3 linked regions of the Drosophila melanogaster genome follow. The protein of the gene in region 1 interacts with the protein of each later gene in a pairwise test. Each region holds a gene or a part of one and is shown on either strand. Other genes may lie near its edges.

The links.
Region 2: the proteins of wor (region 1) and Ephrin interact in a two-hybrid assay, tested with the Drosophila melanogaster proteins (one large-scale study listed by BioGRID).
Region 3: the proteins of wor (region 1) and CkIIalpha-i1 interact in a two-hybrid assay, tested with the Drosophila melanogaster proteins (one large-scale study listed by BioGRID).

What each region holds. Positions count from the first base shown.
Region 1 is NT_033779.5:15,422,523-15,428,120, reverse strand, and holds wor (worniu), read left to right. Parts: upstream 1-2,540; 5' UTR 2,541-2,690; coding exon 2,691-2,778; intron 2,779-2,840; coding exon 2,841-4,399; 3' UTR 4,400-4,824; downstream 4,825-5,598.
Region 2 is NC_004353.4:569,734-575,452, reverse strand, and holds the start of Ephrin (ephrin), read right to left. Parts: upstream 3,699-5,719; 5' UTR 3,282-3,698; intron 1,841-3,281; 5' UTR 1,705-1,840; coding exon 1,025-1,704; intron 119-1,024; coding exon 1-118. Other genes in the region: ND-49 (NADH dehydrogenase (ubiquinone) 49 kDa subunit), read left to right, coding at 4,758-4,849, 4,920-5,044, 5,110-5,219, 5,277-5,478.
Region 3 is NT_037436.4:15,814,712-15,819,876, forward strand, and holds CkIIalpha-i1 (CKII-alpha subunit interactor-1), read left to right. Parts: upstream 1-2,267; 5' UTR 2,268-2,336; coding exon 2,337-2,462; intron 2,463-2,520; coding exon 2,521-3,627; 3' UTR 3,628-3,910; downstream 3,911-5,165. Other genes in the region: fwe (flower), read right to left, coding at 1,225-1,345, 1,563-1,565.

The sequences.
Region 1 (5,598 bases):
CTTTTGTCCGCTCCCGAGCGCAGCTGCAGCCAGCAGATACACAGATACTCGGATAGTTTGAAGTTGGATGCCCCGATCCGCAGATACTCGCTGCCTTGCCACCTTGACGGCGGCAAATTAATGACATTTTGCACTTCATTATGCGACTCTGTGCGGCCGTTTGACACTTTGAAGTGAGGCACTCAGCTGTGGAGCAGTGGAAATCTGTGTGGGACAGTTAGCCTTTGCGGTTTACCTGCCAGGTGATGTGCAGTTAGCTTTTCCTCGGCGTTCCAGGGTTTGATGACACTATCCGCATTGTTGCAAATCTGCACTCTTCGAGGGCTGGCCAAGCAGAAGGTGAAATTGGCCATGGTCAGAATCGAATGATCATCGGCAGATGGCTGGCTAGTCGCACAATTGAGCTGTGATCATGGATCAAGATGATGGATGCACATATTTGAAATGTATTATAAATAAGAAAATTAAGGGTGTATTTAAAGAAAGTAATTCTGATTTAATACTTGGTGAAATCTTTTTATTGGCAGAAAATCCGATCAGAAACAGAATATTTTTGTTGAATATTATTGTATATTGTAGAATGCTTAAATATACATTAAAGAACTCGGGAGACTTAGCACTCTAATTATGGCAATCTCTAAAGGTTTTTTGAATCTTAAACACTTCATAAAAGATCAGTATCAGATTTTTTGATCTTAGAGTATTGAAGGCATAATTTGCTTACCCTGAATTAAAATTTCATTATAAAAGATGAGCCAACGAAGCATCAAAGACCGATTAATAGTTTCTCAATTCCAGTTAATTATAATTCAAAAATCACTTTTCAATGTACCATCAGAGAACATTTCCTATTGTTACAAGGATCACAACACATCCCGGCCAGCTGAGTTCGTTACAGGATTTTGGCGCCAAATACCCGTGGCATGGAATAATCAGTTCCAAGACGAAATCAGTTCCTTGTGGTACGTGTCACAGTCGGCAGATGTGGGAATAGATGATGATCGGGGGGTGCGACTCTCCTTGCAAGACGCTCGACGAGGGGTTGGCTAGAAAGTAACGTCCAAAACTGCAATTCCACCACCATCACCGGCTTTATTCCGACGAAGGTTGTCTGGTGATGCCGTGGATTTTGGGGTGGGACCACTGCGCCAGGTAGATTTGCACGAACCTCTCTCTTTTGGCGCATTCCAAGGCACTCAGCTCCGTTCGGAAAAATAAAGCCAGGTAACTGTCCGGGCACATGCCCATTTTGGGGTGGATTGGAGGTCGCTGGCAGATGGCGGGATTCTTTAATATCGGGAATTGAAATTTCATGGCCGTTAGGGGGTTATTTCTGCCGAGTGCACCGATACACGAGGAGGCGGAGAACCGGAACAATACTCTGGGAAAGGTTGATTTACCTTAGATCTGCGCGCTGTTTGTCCTGGTGATTAATATTTTTGTGGACGTCTAAGTGGGTACATTGCATTGTAGCTTGGCTCGATTTAATGGCGGAGCCAATGTCACGTGCTGATCCTACTCAGCTGCCAGCCGGAGAGGATCGCTCCGATAAGGATCAATTGGAATCCTAAGTGCTTCTTTTCTTCTGTAACAGCGTGCGATTTTATACAACAAATGAAAAGCTTTGAAAGAGAAAATAGAACAACTTTCCTGTACCTTTATTGTAATATCTTCTATCTTAATGATTTTAATTGAGAACGTTTTAATTATTATGGTATTTAAATATTTGGGCATAATTTCCTAAGTCGAGCCCCTGAAAAATCTTCACACTCTCCGATCAGCAAAGTCAGCCGAATATGTGATCGTTTAAGCTCAGCTCAGAAAAATTTGAATAGTAAACATAATAAGAAGCTTAAGAAAACACAGCTGAATTATCCTCCGAATAGCACAGAAAGCTATCTCTTAAGTTCGTGGGACGACTGACAGTTGGAACAAGAGCGCCCCAAAGAGCGAAGAGAGTTGAAAATTGTGGGGTACGAAACTTCTCTTGGTGGGGCTCCAAAGAGCATGCTCACCTGCTCACGAAGAGCAAACGTCCATTAGGCTTATATACAAAGCGATCGTGTGAGGCGGACCCGAAAGAGGCTTATAAATAAACTTGATCGGGTATATAGCAATAGCAAGCTCGCCACCAGCTGCCGCTCACTCATACCATTGAAATTCAGGGGAAATACGAGCTGAACCAGAGAGGCAGCTGGTGGCGATCGGCGAGTGGAACGGAGAGAGTCCCTGTGGCACGTGCTCGCTTTTTACACACAGATTTGTTCCTCTCGTCTCCAGGTCCCTCCCTCTCTCAACGATTCTCTATATGGCAGTGGTACCCCCGGACTGCCCGATCTGCAGCTGTATCTGCGTTCAATGAACGCACAGCTGTGGCTCGATCGCTGAATGGATCTTTTGGCTCGTGGTTCGGGGTGGATTTACAGAATCCCGGGCGACATCGGAAGTAGGTAGACGCCAAGATCCTTTTTGCCCAGGGGGTTGATCATCCTGCCAGGGGGTTGATCGGGAGTCTATAAAACCGGACTGATCCTTGCCGGGTTGCATCATTCGAGCAAGGAACTCCAAGCGATCGAGACGCGTGTGGCGAAAGCAAATGAGTGAGCAGTGATTTAAGTTCAAGGATCGGTATTAAATACAAAATCGAAGATCAGTGATCAGTAACCATAAGGAATAATAACATAGCAACCATGGATAAACTCAAGTACAGCCGCTGCCCGCTCAAGAAGCGTCCGATAATGGTGGAGGAGTCCAGCCCAGAGGATCACCTAAGTCATGGTAGGTTTAAGGCTACGGAAGTGATTTACAGGCATATTTTAACTTTATGCTGATTTCAACAGATGAAGGACCAGTGGACTTGAGTGTGGCCTCGGCTGCAGTGCCTATGGAGCCCCATTGGATGGCTAAATCCGAACCGGAACCTCAGCCGGTGCCCACGGAATTGAGGCGCCGCTTCGATGCAGCCATGAATCAGACCAAGGAGCAGTTGGCCCGTCGCATTTGGGAGGAAACCCGTGAGATAGCCCGCGCTTTTCCGGATGTCTTCACCCGGGAGGAAATCGCCAAGAGTCTTGCTCGCCTGGGTTACGGCGAGTTCGAGTTGCCACCTGAGGAGGAAGTAATGGAGCCGGAGCCGGAACCAGAACAGCATCTGCCTCTTCGATATACAAGAGATGCTAGCCCAACCATCATCAAGGCTGAACCCTCTGATGAGGAACAATTTCCCCTGCGAAACTACAATAACAACCTACTCAAAAGCATAGCCGAGTATGAGGACTGTATGAAAATGCAGAACATCAAAGAGGAGATACCTCCGATTCCATCACCCCAGTTGTTCTATCCACCCCCGACTCCACTGGCCGAACCGGAGGACCTATCCGTAACCCAGAGGAGAGTGCTGAGCGAAAACATGAATCTGCAGAATGTGGCCAGAGCTTTGCTGAGCATGCAACACATGGCTCCGCAACATGCGCCGCCTCCGATAGACATGGAAGAGGATCAGGAGAATCAGGACATCAACCAGCTGAAGATCAAGAGCAGCAATGATCTGTACTACCAGTGCCAGCAGTGCAACAAGTGCTATGCCACCTATGCAGGATTGGTAAAGCATCAACAAACGCACGCCTACGAAAGCACCGAGTACAAGATCATTAGAAGCCAGCCTGGAGGATCAGGTGCGATAGTCGACCAAACCGAGTTTTGCACGGATCAAGCTTCGGCTTTGATTCAGGCAGCTAATGTAGCCTCAGCACAGAGCATGCAAAAGCCAGTGGGAGTGCCGCGATACCATTGCCAGGATTGCGGAAAGAGCTACTCCACCTACTCGGGACTCTCTAAGCACCAGCAGTTCCATTGTCCGTCGGCCGAGGGCAATCAGGTGAAGAAGGTCTTCAGCTGCAAGAACTGCGACAAGACCTATGTGTCCTTGGGCGCCCTGAAGATGCACATTCGCACGCATACCCTGCCCTGCAAGTGTCCCATCTGCGGCAAGGCGTTTTCGCGACCATGGCTCCTCCAGGGTCACATACGCACCCACACGGGAGAGAAGCCCTTCAGTTGCCAACACTGCAATCGGGCCTTCGCGGATAGGTCAAATCTCCGCGCGCACATGCAAACCCATTCGGATGTGAAGAAGTACTCGTGCCCCACCTGCACCAAGTCCTTCTCGCGTATGTCCCTGCTGGCCAAGCACCTGCAAAGCGGTTGCCAGACTGAGCAGAGTGGAGGTCCCAGTGGGTCAGGAGGGGGCTTTGATCAGCAGCAGCTACAGCAGCACCTCCAGGTCTACGAGGAGGGACACAATCCACACCAACTCTACTACGCCGGCAGTGTGGGCAGCAGTAATGGTGAAGAGGAGGAGGGCGGGGAATACCAAATGCAACCACCGGCCATTTATTAATCTTAGTCAGTTTAGCCAAAGTCAGAAGTCAGATTCAGGGAAAAGTCAGTGCCAAAAATTAGTCAGGGCAATTTTATTGCCTCTTAGGGTCTCTAGTTTATCAGAAATATTTATTTAGAGTTATCGCTAAATTATTCCAAAACTCATATCGCAGTTGAGAGCTTAGCATTAGATTGTTTTCGTTGACAATTCCTTGTATTATAGTTCGTTGTTAAAACTCATTCGTGTACAAATCAAAAAGGTGCCAGATAATTAAGCCCCAATTCATACGACATACCTACCAACTTATAATTTAATCTTATAATTTATTTTACCTTAAACATTATGATTTAAGCCTTGTAAATATGGTGAAGGTAGCCATTTACTTGCATGTATTTAATTTTAATTTTTTTAAATAAATAAAACACAAGAAAACAGAAACCACCAACACATTTAGTTTTTTTGAGTTGAGGTAAACAAATTAATTTCCCTCATTCTATTACTTTACCTATCGGACGAACGGTTCGAATCGCATCGCAATCTAAAAGATGCCATCTCGGATATGCATTGTAGGTGTCGTTTATTTATCGCTGCACTCGAAATGAAAATCCACAGAAATCGAGACATTCAACCGTCAGGGAGACTCGATGGGGGGTTACAAAGAGCTAGGAAAGCAGTCTATACATATGAAGCCGTTTATATGTATGTATAGAAATGTATTGAAAATCGCTGCTTAAATCAAAATTAATTGCCAGAATAATAATTGTTTTGAACGTAAAGCGCCGAAATGCAAACGGCAAACCAGAGGAGAATTGGCGCAGCTGCAATTGCAACTGCAACTGCGACTGCGTCACCGTCAACCAGCAACACTGCAACTAGCAACATCAACAACAGCAGCAGGCGGCAAGCGCCAACAGTCTAGTATTTTTGTGGGCCTGCTGCAGTTGGCGAAATCCACTCAAAACAACAAACCAAGCGATGAATCATCGATTTTGTTTTCGGTTTTTTTTTTTCTTCTGTTCGTGGCAAACTGAAAAAATCAACAAAGCCGGCTTTTGGTGCAGCCGCACGCAGCTAGATGGCGCTAGTGGGCAGCCAGGTTGCAGGCAGGTAAGCTCAATTAAACGCGTTTTTCAGTTGCGCCGCTTTTCCGCTCTACAGCCCAGCCGCACCTTACTTTATATAGCGAAAAGAACCCCACCCACCCTGCATCCTCATCT
Region 2 (5,719 bases), on another chromosome or scaffold:
TTCGTTCTCAAAAGTCCCTGGCTCATATACTGGGCATATTATATGAACCTGATCGAACTCAAATGCAAGATTGCCTTTATTAACATCGATAATATGATCTGTGTTATCAATCCGAAATCTGTGGATATAAGAGTGCAATCAAATTACATTTTGTTTTGAGAAAGTCAGAAAACGATTTTCAATAAATAAGCGCAAATCGAAATACCAAATTTGGGCCAATTAATGTGCAAAACATCACACATAGTAACGATGAGCACTGAACGCGTAGGGTTCAAGGAACTACATATCATATATAATTTTAGATTTGGAAAATGCTGAAATAGTTCGCACAGAATAGTTTAAGCAACAGTTTATGAAAATGCTGAAGTTAACATTTTGAAAATGGAAAATTGGGTTGTTTTTATCTGATCTAGACTTTATTGTTTAATGCCTTGGCTACGAAAACGTGCATTTGTCTTCTGTTTTTGGGGTTTGTTGTCCGATTTTGGAAGTAACATTATCCTAACAAACTTAATGTCCCATTGCAATATGGATGGTATAGATGATATGGATATGTTTATATCGAGAAAGAGAAAACCAGACAAAATGAGTAGGCCATATATGCCCTGATGCGATTACCAAAAAAGTTACTAATCATGATCCTTAGGGATCAATGGGATCGCCTAATCATCGTCTGCTCACTTGCACAACAAATTATGACAATAGTTATTCTATCGAAAATGACTCATGTGCATTACTAATTGCTGGGAAAGTTTATAAAAGCCCAGCGTGTTTATACGCGACATTAGGGATTAATTTATCAATATATTATTGGCCAGCAGTCTTATTATTGGAAAGAAAATTTTATTTGAAATAACAAATCCCCTAAACGAATAATAATAATCCTCATACTACTGACTTAAAAACTGTAATAATTGTAATAAAACATAATACATTTGTAGAGAAAAATAAAAATCTACAATTTTTAACTTCAATAAAATTATAATACCGCTGCTTAAGTATACCACTATATTTGAGTACTTACATACTGTTCGATGTGTTCCAATGCATGTAAAAAGTCTTGGCGCAACTAGACATGGTGGAGAGCAAAACAGTTTCCATACAAATTAAAGTGAGCAACGTAACAAAGGATGTGGCACCAAACTTTGGAAATGGAATCATCATTTTGCATCTCATTGGCGATGGCTGAGGCGAAGATAACAAACAGTTTCTGTTCTTAATCCTCTTTTTACCAACAAAATGCCGTGATGCCTTTGATTCTATCCCTGCTTCCACCAGTACTGATGAATGCTTCTCGGGTGGTTGTCTTTTACTCGGTGAATAAAGCGGCTTGAGATTGTTAAAACCTTGAAACTTGCTTTTGCTCTTAGACTTTCGATGCATAGCTGGTTGCTGTTTATTCGTTGTCGTAAGCGCCTTATGTCGAATTTTTGGGATACTCTCAATACTTCCTGGCACGTACAGCTTAATGCTTAAAGGTTTTCCAGAGTATAGCTGAACTTTATGTTTCTCCTTTTGTTGCTGATGCCGGTGAGATTTGCAATTGGGGAAAGCTACTGGTGGATGTGAGTCTTCAAGCACTTTACTGGTAGTTAAGCGCCTCTTACATGCCAACATGCTCCGACGTTGACAACTGTCATGAATCTGAGACTTTGACTGGGTCCAGGAAACAGTAAGACGCAGTTGCTTTGATCGTTCTTGCATACCGCCAGCAATGTTTTCGATGTTAGATCGTTAGTAGCTTTCTTGCTAAATGCATACAATAAACCTCCGAAATAAGAATATGTTGACTGGCTACATCTACATCTGTGTCATTCCGCACCAAAGTGTCTTGCTCCATCTGCAATCAATAAAATAACAATTTTTACAACAAAACGCTGTAGCCGTGTACGAATTCTGGGCATAAAAAAAAAACACTGAAACTGCAGTGTAACTTGTAACATGATTTTCTCACTTTGGACGGTATAGTTACGAAGCGCACCAACAGACTAAAGACTACTATGCGGTTTGGTTGTTTACTTTACCCTTTAAAAGATTTCTTATAAATGAGTAAATTATATGTAGTGCGTTATAAAGTCAGGTGCAATTTAATTTTTGATGACAATAGTTAAATAATACAACTTTTGTGCATATATATCACTATATAAATATATATGCATATATAGGAACAATCCGAAAAAATTAAATTGAAAAGGCCGTTAAATTATTGTTTCTTTTTCATCTGTGATTTAGGTCTAGTATTCTTTTTAACGTAGACTTAGTTTTCACCTCTTCAAGATTAAATTTTGATACTGAAAATGAAATTGATATAATACCTAGGGTTCTTAGAAAATTTAACCCGACTTTTTTAGAGCGGAATTATACTTTTCAATTTATCTCGTCAAAAAGTTTACTAGGCAGTTAAAAAAGAAACAATACTTTAACGGCATTCTTTTTCGACCCGTATATGTATATGAACTACAAAATAAAAGGATTTCAACCTTCAATTCGAAGGTCGTTTGGCAAACGGAAAGAAAGACAAAAAATATATCGACATGGCTGTGTAAACTGATCAAGAATATGTGTTCTTCTATTGACATTTCCTCCTTTACTTCGTTGACAATCCTGACTGAAATTAGTTTACCCATTGCAAAATCTAACTACATATTATATCTACTCATTCTAAGCTTTGAGATCATTACGCGTTAACATTTTAATGTAACAGTAGCATATTATGCGTATTTATATTTTTATGTAAAGTTTATACAAGTTGATCTTTAAAACAAACAGCCTAAGACTGAGGGATCCTGTTTGCGCCGCGTTCGGCGGCAGTCGGCGAAATAAGCAGCTGTTAATGCTGATCAACAATATTTATATGTTGACTACCGCCACCTGACAGATTACGAGATTTTTAAAAGTACTTCGCTTTAACTTTGGAAACCGCCTAATTGATTTGATTCGACCCTGATTGATCAAAAATACTTATTTAACAGGCCGGCAAACCAATTATCAATTTAAGTGGGATACTACATTTTAATACATGTATGGTACATTTTCTATACAAACAGGGTTGGTAATGGCTTGGCGAAATATTAATATATTTTTTAACATTCATAGTCATAAACAATCAACATGGCATAAGATCAACAATATATAGCGGATCTGCAGTTCTTGACATTCAATTTATAACGGAACAATCAATATATTTCTTAAAAATTGTATGTTTAAGTGATAAAACATCCCAACAGCATTATACAATTACATATGTATGTATACACCAAAAGACATTTCTGTATACATACACAGTGACGACACACTCTCCGAGGAGACAGAAGAAACTCTATATATACACAAACATCTTACTCTCGGGGAAACATTCTTATTCGATACGATTAACAATCCGGTACAAATATGTTGGTATAACATAGTTGACATATAAAAACACAAAATATACATATATGCCCATAACACCGTCTTCCTTTTTTGGTACATCTTTTTCAAAATTACATTTTCACATGATTAAAAATTGTTCCAAACAGGTTTTTGTCTGAAGAGAAATACTCGAAAACAGCTCATTTAAATTAGTTTTTTCTACACTTGGACTACATACAAGAATTATTTATATAAATACTGTAGAGCTAGAGCTATAAAAAAAACTTGTTTAGAGCTGGAACAAAAAACGATGTTTACTTTAACTTTCGATGTATAAAGAAACTTAAGGGCATCGATAATTTTACAAATCAATCGATAGCGATTTTTTTCCAAAGGCCCGTATAATCTTATAATATAAGTCAAATGGTTTGGTTTTTTTTTTTTTTTTTGAATTTAACATATGCGAATTTCTACTATAAGTAATATTCACAGTAAAAACCATACCATATTGATAGGAAACTGTCTTATAAAGATTTTATTTGACATTTGTTGTAGCAGAACCATTATGTAAGTTCCTAGTAAATTTTTTAGCTAGGCTTAAGCACTATTTTATGTTTTAAGAATAATTTTATAATTATTAAAATTTATCTATTACCCGTGTCGAACCTATTTTGATTGGTGTAAGAAGTTTGAAACCCAGTGAAAGAGTTAAGAATTTGAAGTAAATATATATATGGTCAGTATCAAGAGCCGAGTCAGCACTACCGTCTGTCCGATCATCCGTTTTTACGTTACTATCTCTTAGCACCGGTTCTTGACTGCATAAAATTTTTGTTCAAGTTAAAAGAGTTTTCATAATTTTGTTTTCTTAAGTTTAGTCATCGGACGAAAAGTCCAGAAATCAATTGTTAATTAAAGAATTTAAATAGTTTCGTTGTTTTTAGTCATTAAATGTCCACATTCGCTCTGCTGAGATACTGCTAAGATATATAAGTTTAGCCTTGCAGAAGCTATCATTATTATCTCTAGTAATTATATTTTTATAGTGCTCCATTAACGCAAAATTCGCTTCATTGGGATGATGTAAAATTCAGGTCTTCGAAAAATTAATTGCAATTATTGTTTATAACATTATATAAAGATAAATAAAAACTTGGGTAAACGAGCAGGATGACAAAGTGTGTAATATATATAAGGGAATTTATGTGTTTTGCACTTCATTTTCATGAAGCAACAACCTGCGATATATTATTGGTGTAAATAGTATATAAGCTGTACGAGATTCGGTGTTTAAAGTAATTTTCGATATTTTTTGGATAGAATTCCGATTGCGGATAACTATTTGGTTGTATTAGATTCCTGAATTGTTACTAAAGAAACATAAATAGAGGAATTTGACTATCAGGATGGCCAATATAATGAGAAGAACGTTGATTCCTGGACTTTCACACTTGAGGCTGCGGCCACAACTTGTTGCAGCTGGATCGGCCGCGTTAACGTAAATAGTAAATGCTTACATAATTCGAATATATCATTTATATTTGTCCAATTGGAAACTCGTTGTTTAGTTCTCAGGAGACGCGACGGGGAGCAGCCAAGTGGTATCCAGACCCTGAGTTCATGAAGCAGTTTAGCGGCCCGGTGATGTATCCAGACGAGGTCACATCACTTTGGACAGTGCCACCATGGAACAGTTAGTTGGTAACCCAATATTAAACTGACCCTTGAACTAATCGCTTGACTTACCTCCTCTACTAGGCAAAGTAACGCCTGTCGAAAAGTCGGTGCGTAATCTGACCTTGAACTTCGGCCCACAACATCCCGCCGCCCACGGAGTCCTTCGTCTTGTGCTGGAGCTGGATGGAGAGGTTTAAGCTGTTAATCGACCACAGGTCTTGTGTAAATTAAAACCTCTGTTATTGCAGACCGTTATGCGTGCCGATCCGCATATTGGGCTGCTGCACCGTGGGACCGAAAAGCTCATAGAGTACAAGACATACACCCAGGCATTGCCGTATTTTGACCGGCTGGACTACGTCTCGATGATGTGCAACGAGCAATGCTACTCTCTGGCTGTAGAAAAACTCCTTAATATTGATGTGCCTCTCCGTGCTAAGTACATTCGAAGTAAGAATACAAAGTAATTTTCTCTTGCTCTTGACTTTGTAGTCATTAAGAAGATTTCAATAGTTTCGCTTTTTTAATATATGTATATATATATTATAATTTAGCATTGTCACCATCGCCATAAATCTTACGCAACAAAATCTTTTTAAAAGTTCTATTTAATTTTTGATTACCAAAAAAAAAATATTTTAAATTTGGGTTTGATTATTAAAATTATTTTAATCTAAAATTTAAAGTGAGA
Region 3 (5,165 bases), on another chromosome or scaffold:
TCACTAAGTGAGAATCATTGCCAGAATATCCAACAACAAAAGATGCTTTTGTACAGAGAAAAAAAAGATGTTAAAAACGTTTTGAATAAATAAATATTCCTTTGGTTGATCTCTAAAAATTCCAGGAATAATATGTCAATGAGGCATATTGTTTCTGTGGAATTTTCATTTATATACATATGTATGGTTTAGATTGATTTTTAAAATAATTTTTGTAAGTATTCTAACGACACGAAACCCAATAGCATAATCAAAACCCCAACTGCGATTAAAAAGATTGACTTGGACTTAATCAAAGTAGATCACGACTACTTAAAAGTTTATTGAACTGCATTTTTTTATGCATTCAGAAGGTGATGATGAAATTACAAAAAAGATGCCCCAATTGAATTTAAGATACGCATAGACTTATTACGATATTGCACTTATAACACGTGTGGCAGCCTAAGGGTTAAGGTTAACTGAGTCCAGATAAAAAAGCAAATACGCAAACGGGTAAAACAAAGTTAAAAATAGAGATGGAAAGAGGGAAGCTGCTGATACAACAAAAGGCAGTGCGAATTTCGATTGAATGGGCACAGAGAATTACATTCGATGCGGAAAGAAAAAGCAGAGCGCCAAACTTGACACAGAAAAGCTCCTATACATACTTGCAATTTCCTACACACGAAATAAAAAGTTATCAAACGAAATGGTTAGATAAGAGATATTAAGTGCAGGAAGCCCACTTAGTTAAGTGGGTGAATGTATTATTTTATATTTCAATAACAAAACAAAAAAAAACCTTTTTTGGACTTTGTTTTACCTTAAAATTATACGTTTCATTCTTAATTCATTTGGAAATCTCACACTTTACCCTACATTTCTTTGATTTTGATGTAAAAATAAACTTTAGCTACATACATAACTAGTATTTTTTTCAGTGTGTGAATTTGTGTATCCTTTTTGTGTTGTCTTTTCCATGTTTCCTTTCTCCGCTCTCACTGCCTCTCACCTCTCACTCACCCTCTCTTGTTTTTCCTTTATCAATGTCAGAGAGCGTGCGTACACACACGAACACAACTGCACACCTACACCTACGAATAGATAACAGCAACAACAACAAAGGGTGGTACACAAAAATCGATGCAACATATTTTTGGGCCGCCCAATGTCACGGATGTTTTTCCCAACTTTTTAATGTGTTAAGCTAGTAGATAATTTATTATATATCCTACAACTTACAGAAGGCGGCCACAATGCCCAGCAATCGACTTCCATATTTGAGATACCACGGCTGCTCCGGTCCAATTGGATCTTGTTGATTCGGCCGTGCCAGCAGACCCGTTATCTTTTCCGCAAACGACTGATCCGGGAAATAGACGGAAATAGGGAGAAATCGAAATGCAATTAGGAAAAATCGAAGCACAATTTTGTATTGTGACGCGGCGGCCGCTTTTTTTAACACGCACACATTGCCACGACAAAAACACACACACCAGTTAACGCGCGGCTCACATGCATACACACTGACACCGCTCACTGCGTCAGCATTTTATCTCAGTCAATCAACAACTACCTACCATGGCTATTTATTTAGTTAGTTAGCTAGGCTTAAACTAATTCGAACAATTACTATTTGCACTTTTCACGTCACACGGAACGAAAAAAATCCTGTTGTACTTTGCGTTCTGCTGCACGCGAACCGAACTAGATCGCGATTCTGATGGCCGATAGAGCCTATCGATACTCGGAAGTTATCGGAGGCGAATGGAACTAGTTTCCTGGTATCCTGGATTCACTACAACATTTTTTAATTTTTAAATTTATATTGCAATTAGTCAACTTCTTACTTTTTTCATAATTATTTGTATTTTCTTGTTTTGGGTTTCGAACATTCAAATAATTACACAAATACTTTTTTAGGTAATGAAAAAACTACAGTCTAAACTTGTAAATTGGTTTTTGTTCGATTATGATATTAAACAATATTTTCCGGTTCTCTTAGCAAATGTTAGGCAAATTTGTGTACATTGAAAGCTTTTATACCGTTCAATATGCAGGCGGCATCTTTAGAAAATTCACTTCGATCTCAGATCGTTCACCTAACTCCTAAATCTGAACAACTATCTCTATTCAAATCAATCAAAATTAATTTATTTTTAGATTTGCATAAATTTCTAAGTCCGTAAATTAAAAATCGATTAATTCAATTGCCTATCGACATTAAGCAGCTCTGCATTGTATCGATAAATTAAACATCTATCGATAGTATCGATTAGCAGACATCGAAGAAATCATTGATTACTTGCCTTTTATTAACTTGGTTTTTGGACCTCCTCGAAAATATCAGCAAAATGACAGAAGCGGAAATTTGCAAACTATGCAAGGATAACCGAGCAATTGAGATCGATCTCGAGAAGCCCAAATTCAAATCGGCCAATAAACTGCTGCAAAGACTTTTCGATTGGTACAAAATTGATGTAAGTTCTGAAAGTGAGTCCAATGGATGTCAAATGCAAAGAAACCCACGTATTTTAGGCTGCTATCCTGGGGGAAAATTACTGCATTTGCGAGCCCTGCTTTGGAGAGACTTTGCGCATAAGCGAATCCCTGGAGAAGTGGGGCACGGCCCAGGACGAGTTTCACCGGAGGCCCATCGAAATAGACGACTCCACTGCATTTCAGATCAAGTTGGAGGTGACATCAAACAAAGAAGAGGTAGAAACGGAAAAGAATGATGAGGAGAATTCTTTCGATCAGCATATCGCGGAGCCAGTGAAGGAAGATCCATTGGAAAAAAACGAGCATATGGAGATCGTAGTCGAAGAATCTTTGAAAACCGCGTCCGTGGATTTCTTCAGCGTGGGATTGTCACGCGATGGCTTGGCAGTCACCAAGTTCTTCAAGGACAAGACCCAAGCCACTCGGATGCTGTGCACCTGTTGCGGCCATGTGCTCGAAATCCTGACCCACATACGCATGCATTCTTGTAAACCCCGCCCGAATCCGGTCTACTATTGCCGCGATTGTGGTTCAGAGTTCCACAAACTACACGAACTACATGAGCACATGAAGACGATGAAACACAACAAGACCATGTGCGGCGCAAAGGATTTGGAATTTCTGTGCCTCAGATGCAACCAGATATTCCCACGCTATTTCGACGTTATCCGCCACGAGAACAGCGTTCACAATGTATCCGATTTCATCTGCGTGGAGTGCAACATGTCCTTCGCTAACCAAGGATCCTACAGGAGGCACACGAGGAGCCATAAAGTCAAATTCACGCAGCAGCGATTTTATGAGTGCCCATATAAGGACTGCACCTCAAGTTATCGAGTGTGGGCGCGCTTAATGTCGCACATGAGTTCCCACGGCCTCTTTTCTGGATTCAAAAGCAAAGTGCCGTCTACCCAACAGGAACGACGTCTTCTGGAGGGCAAGTTTATGACGCTGGACCCCATGAAACGGGTTGAACCCGATCGCCGAAAGTTGCCATACCGCAAGAAAAGCTTTTACGCTAAGGCAGATTTCCCGGAATCCCCGACGAAATGTACCAACGGAGGAGAGTTCATCAGCCTGCCCAAGAAAATTTCCCTGCAGAAGGGAAAATACATCAATCTTTCGGACAATTCAAGACCTTAGTTACCAACTAGGCTAGCAAATAATGGTAATCTTGAAAACTGATTAAATTGTATAAATTAATATTTCCACTACTGTGTGTATATTATTAATTCTTAGATAGCCAATTTTAGTATAACTTTTTTGTTATTAAGAAATTTACCCCCGCGTTGTATTCTTTACAATTGTGAAAAAAGGCGGATAAAACATACTTCCGTTTTATAATTTCTCTTCGTGGATAAACGTTGAGATGAAGTGTTTTTAAACCCAATAGAAATAAACAATCAGTTTTAAAACTTGGTACATCAATTTATTGCCGGAAATTTTTGGGGGGAAAACGTTGGAAATATATATTGCCACAAATAAGTTATTTTATAATCTTTTTACGTTACAATTGTTCTTGATTGAAGAGTTAACTTGGATTTTGTATTTGCTTGTTTTGGCATTAAATTCTACAAATTGTATTTTTGATATCGTATGATTTTGAAGGAGGTGCTTACACTAGAATAGAATTGCTCAACCAAAGAATCTGGATTACTTTCCACTTTATTTTCAGGAAATCTATTCTTGTGCATCCACGTCCTCGCTTTTGTTTTGGACGTGTTTACAGATTTGTTTTTTTTTTTTTTTGGTTTGTCTATGTTCGATACAATGGTTAAAATGCATAGCAAATTTAGCTTGGAGCCAGTACTCGGATCACTCCAATCGTCGGGCGGTTCTGACTTTCAGGTGTTGGCAAGATTTCAATATAGCGCAAGTCCTCACGCATCCAACATTCACTTAGACTTAATGTGGTCGGTTGTTGTTCCAGGAGCCCTTTACTAAAGTTAATTAATGCTATGTCTATGGTTCTTCAAAAAATGAAAGTAAAATATAATGTGTGTCTCTGGATTGGTAAAATTGTAATGGGATTGCAGTTCATCAAATGAAGAGTCGTTTTTTTTTCTGTTTTGGGTTCATATTTAAATTGTTGCACTTTTGAGTTTCTTTCTTCGTTTACAACAAAATGTTACAATATTTTATTCTTGGGTTTGTTGAAATTTTCAAGCTGTGTAAACAACGCTGTTCTTGTAGTTTGATATTCATTGCTTGATGGATGATAAGTTTGATGTTGTTTGTCACTTGGCCCAGACAAATGACCAAAGAAGTTAAGTTCGTTTTGGTATTGAGAAGAAAGAAGGCATTAAATTAGGATAGAAAGACAAGATTATCAATTTCATTGGGCATTTGTCTGAGGCTGGAAACGGATCTTGAGTGTTTCCAAAAAAATAAAACTTTAAACTATAGGCTTTTAATAAAAATGAAGTATAATCCAAATCCAAATAAGGAGAGAAGTGTTTAAAACAGATTTGCAGCTCATTAAGTAAACATATAAAATAAAAGTTAATATGGCTTTTCAAAAAGCTTTAAAAGTCAATGGTAAAAGATTTAAAGCAAATGCAAATTTCTTACTGTTTTCGGCCGATACGCTTAGAGAACTACTTTCGAATTGAACACAAAAGGCCGAGTTACAGGGAACTTCTTTTGATTTTCGGTGATGTAAACCTATTGGCTCTGATGTT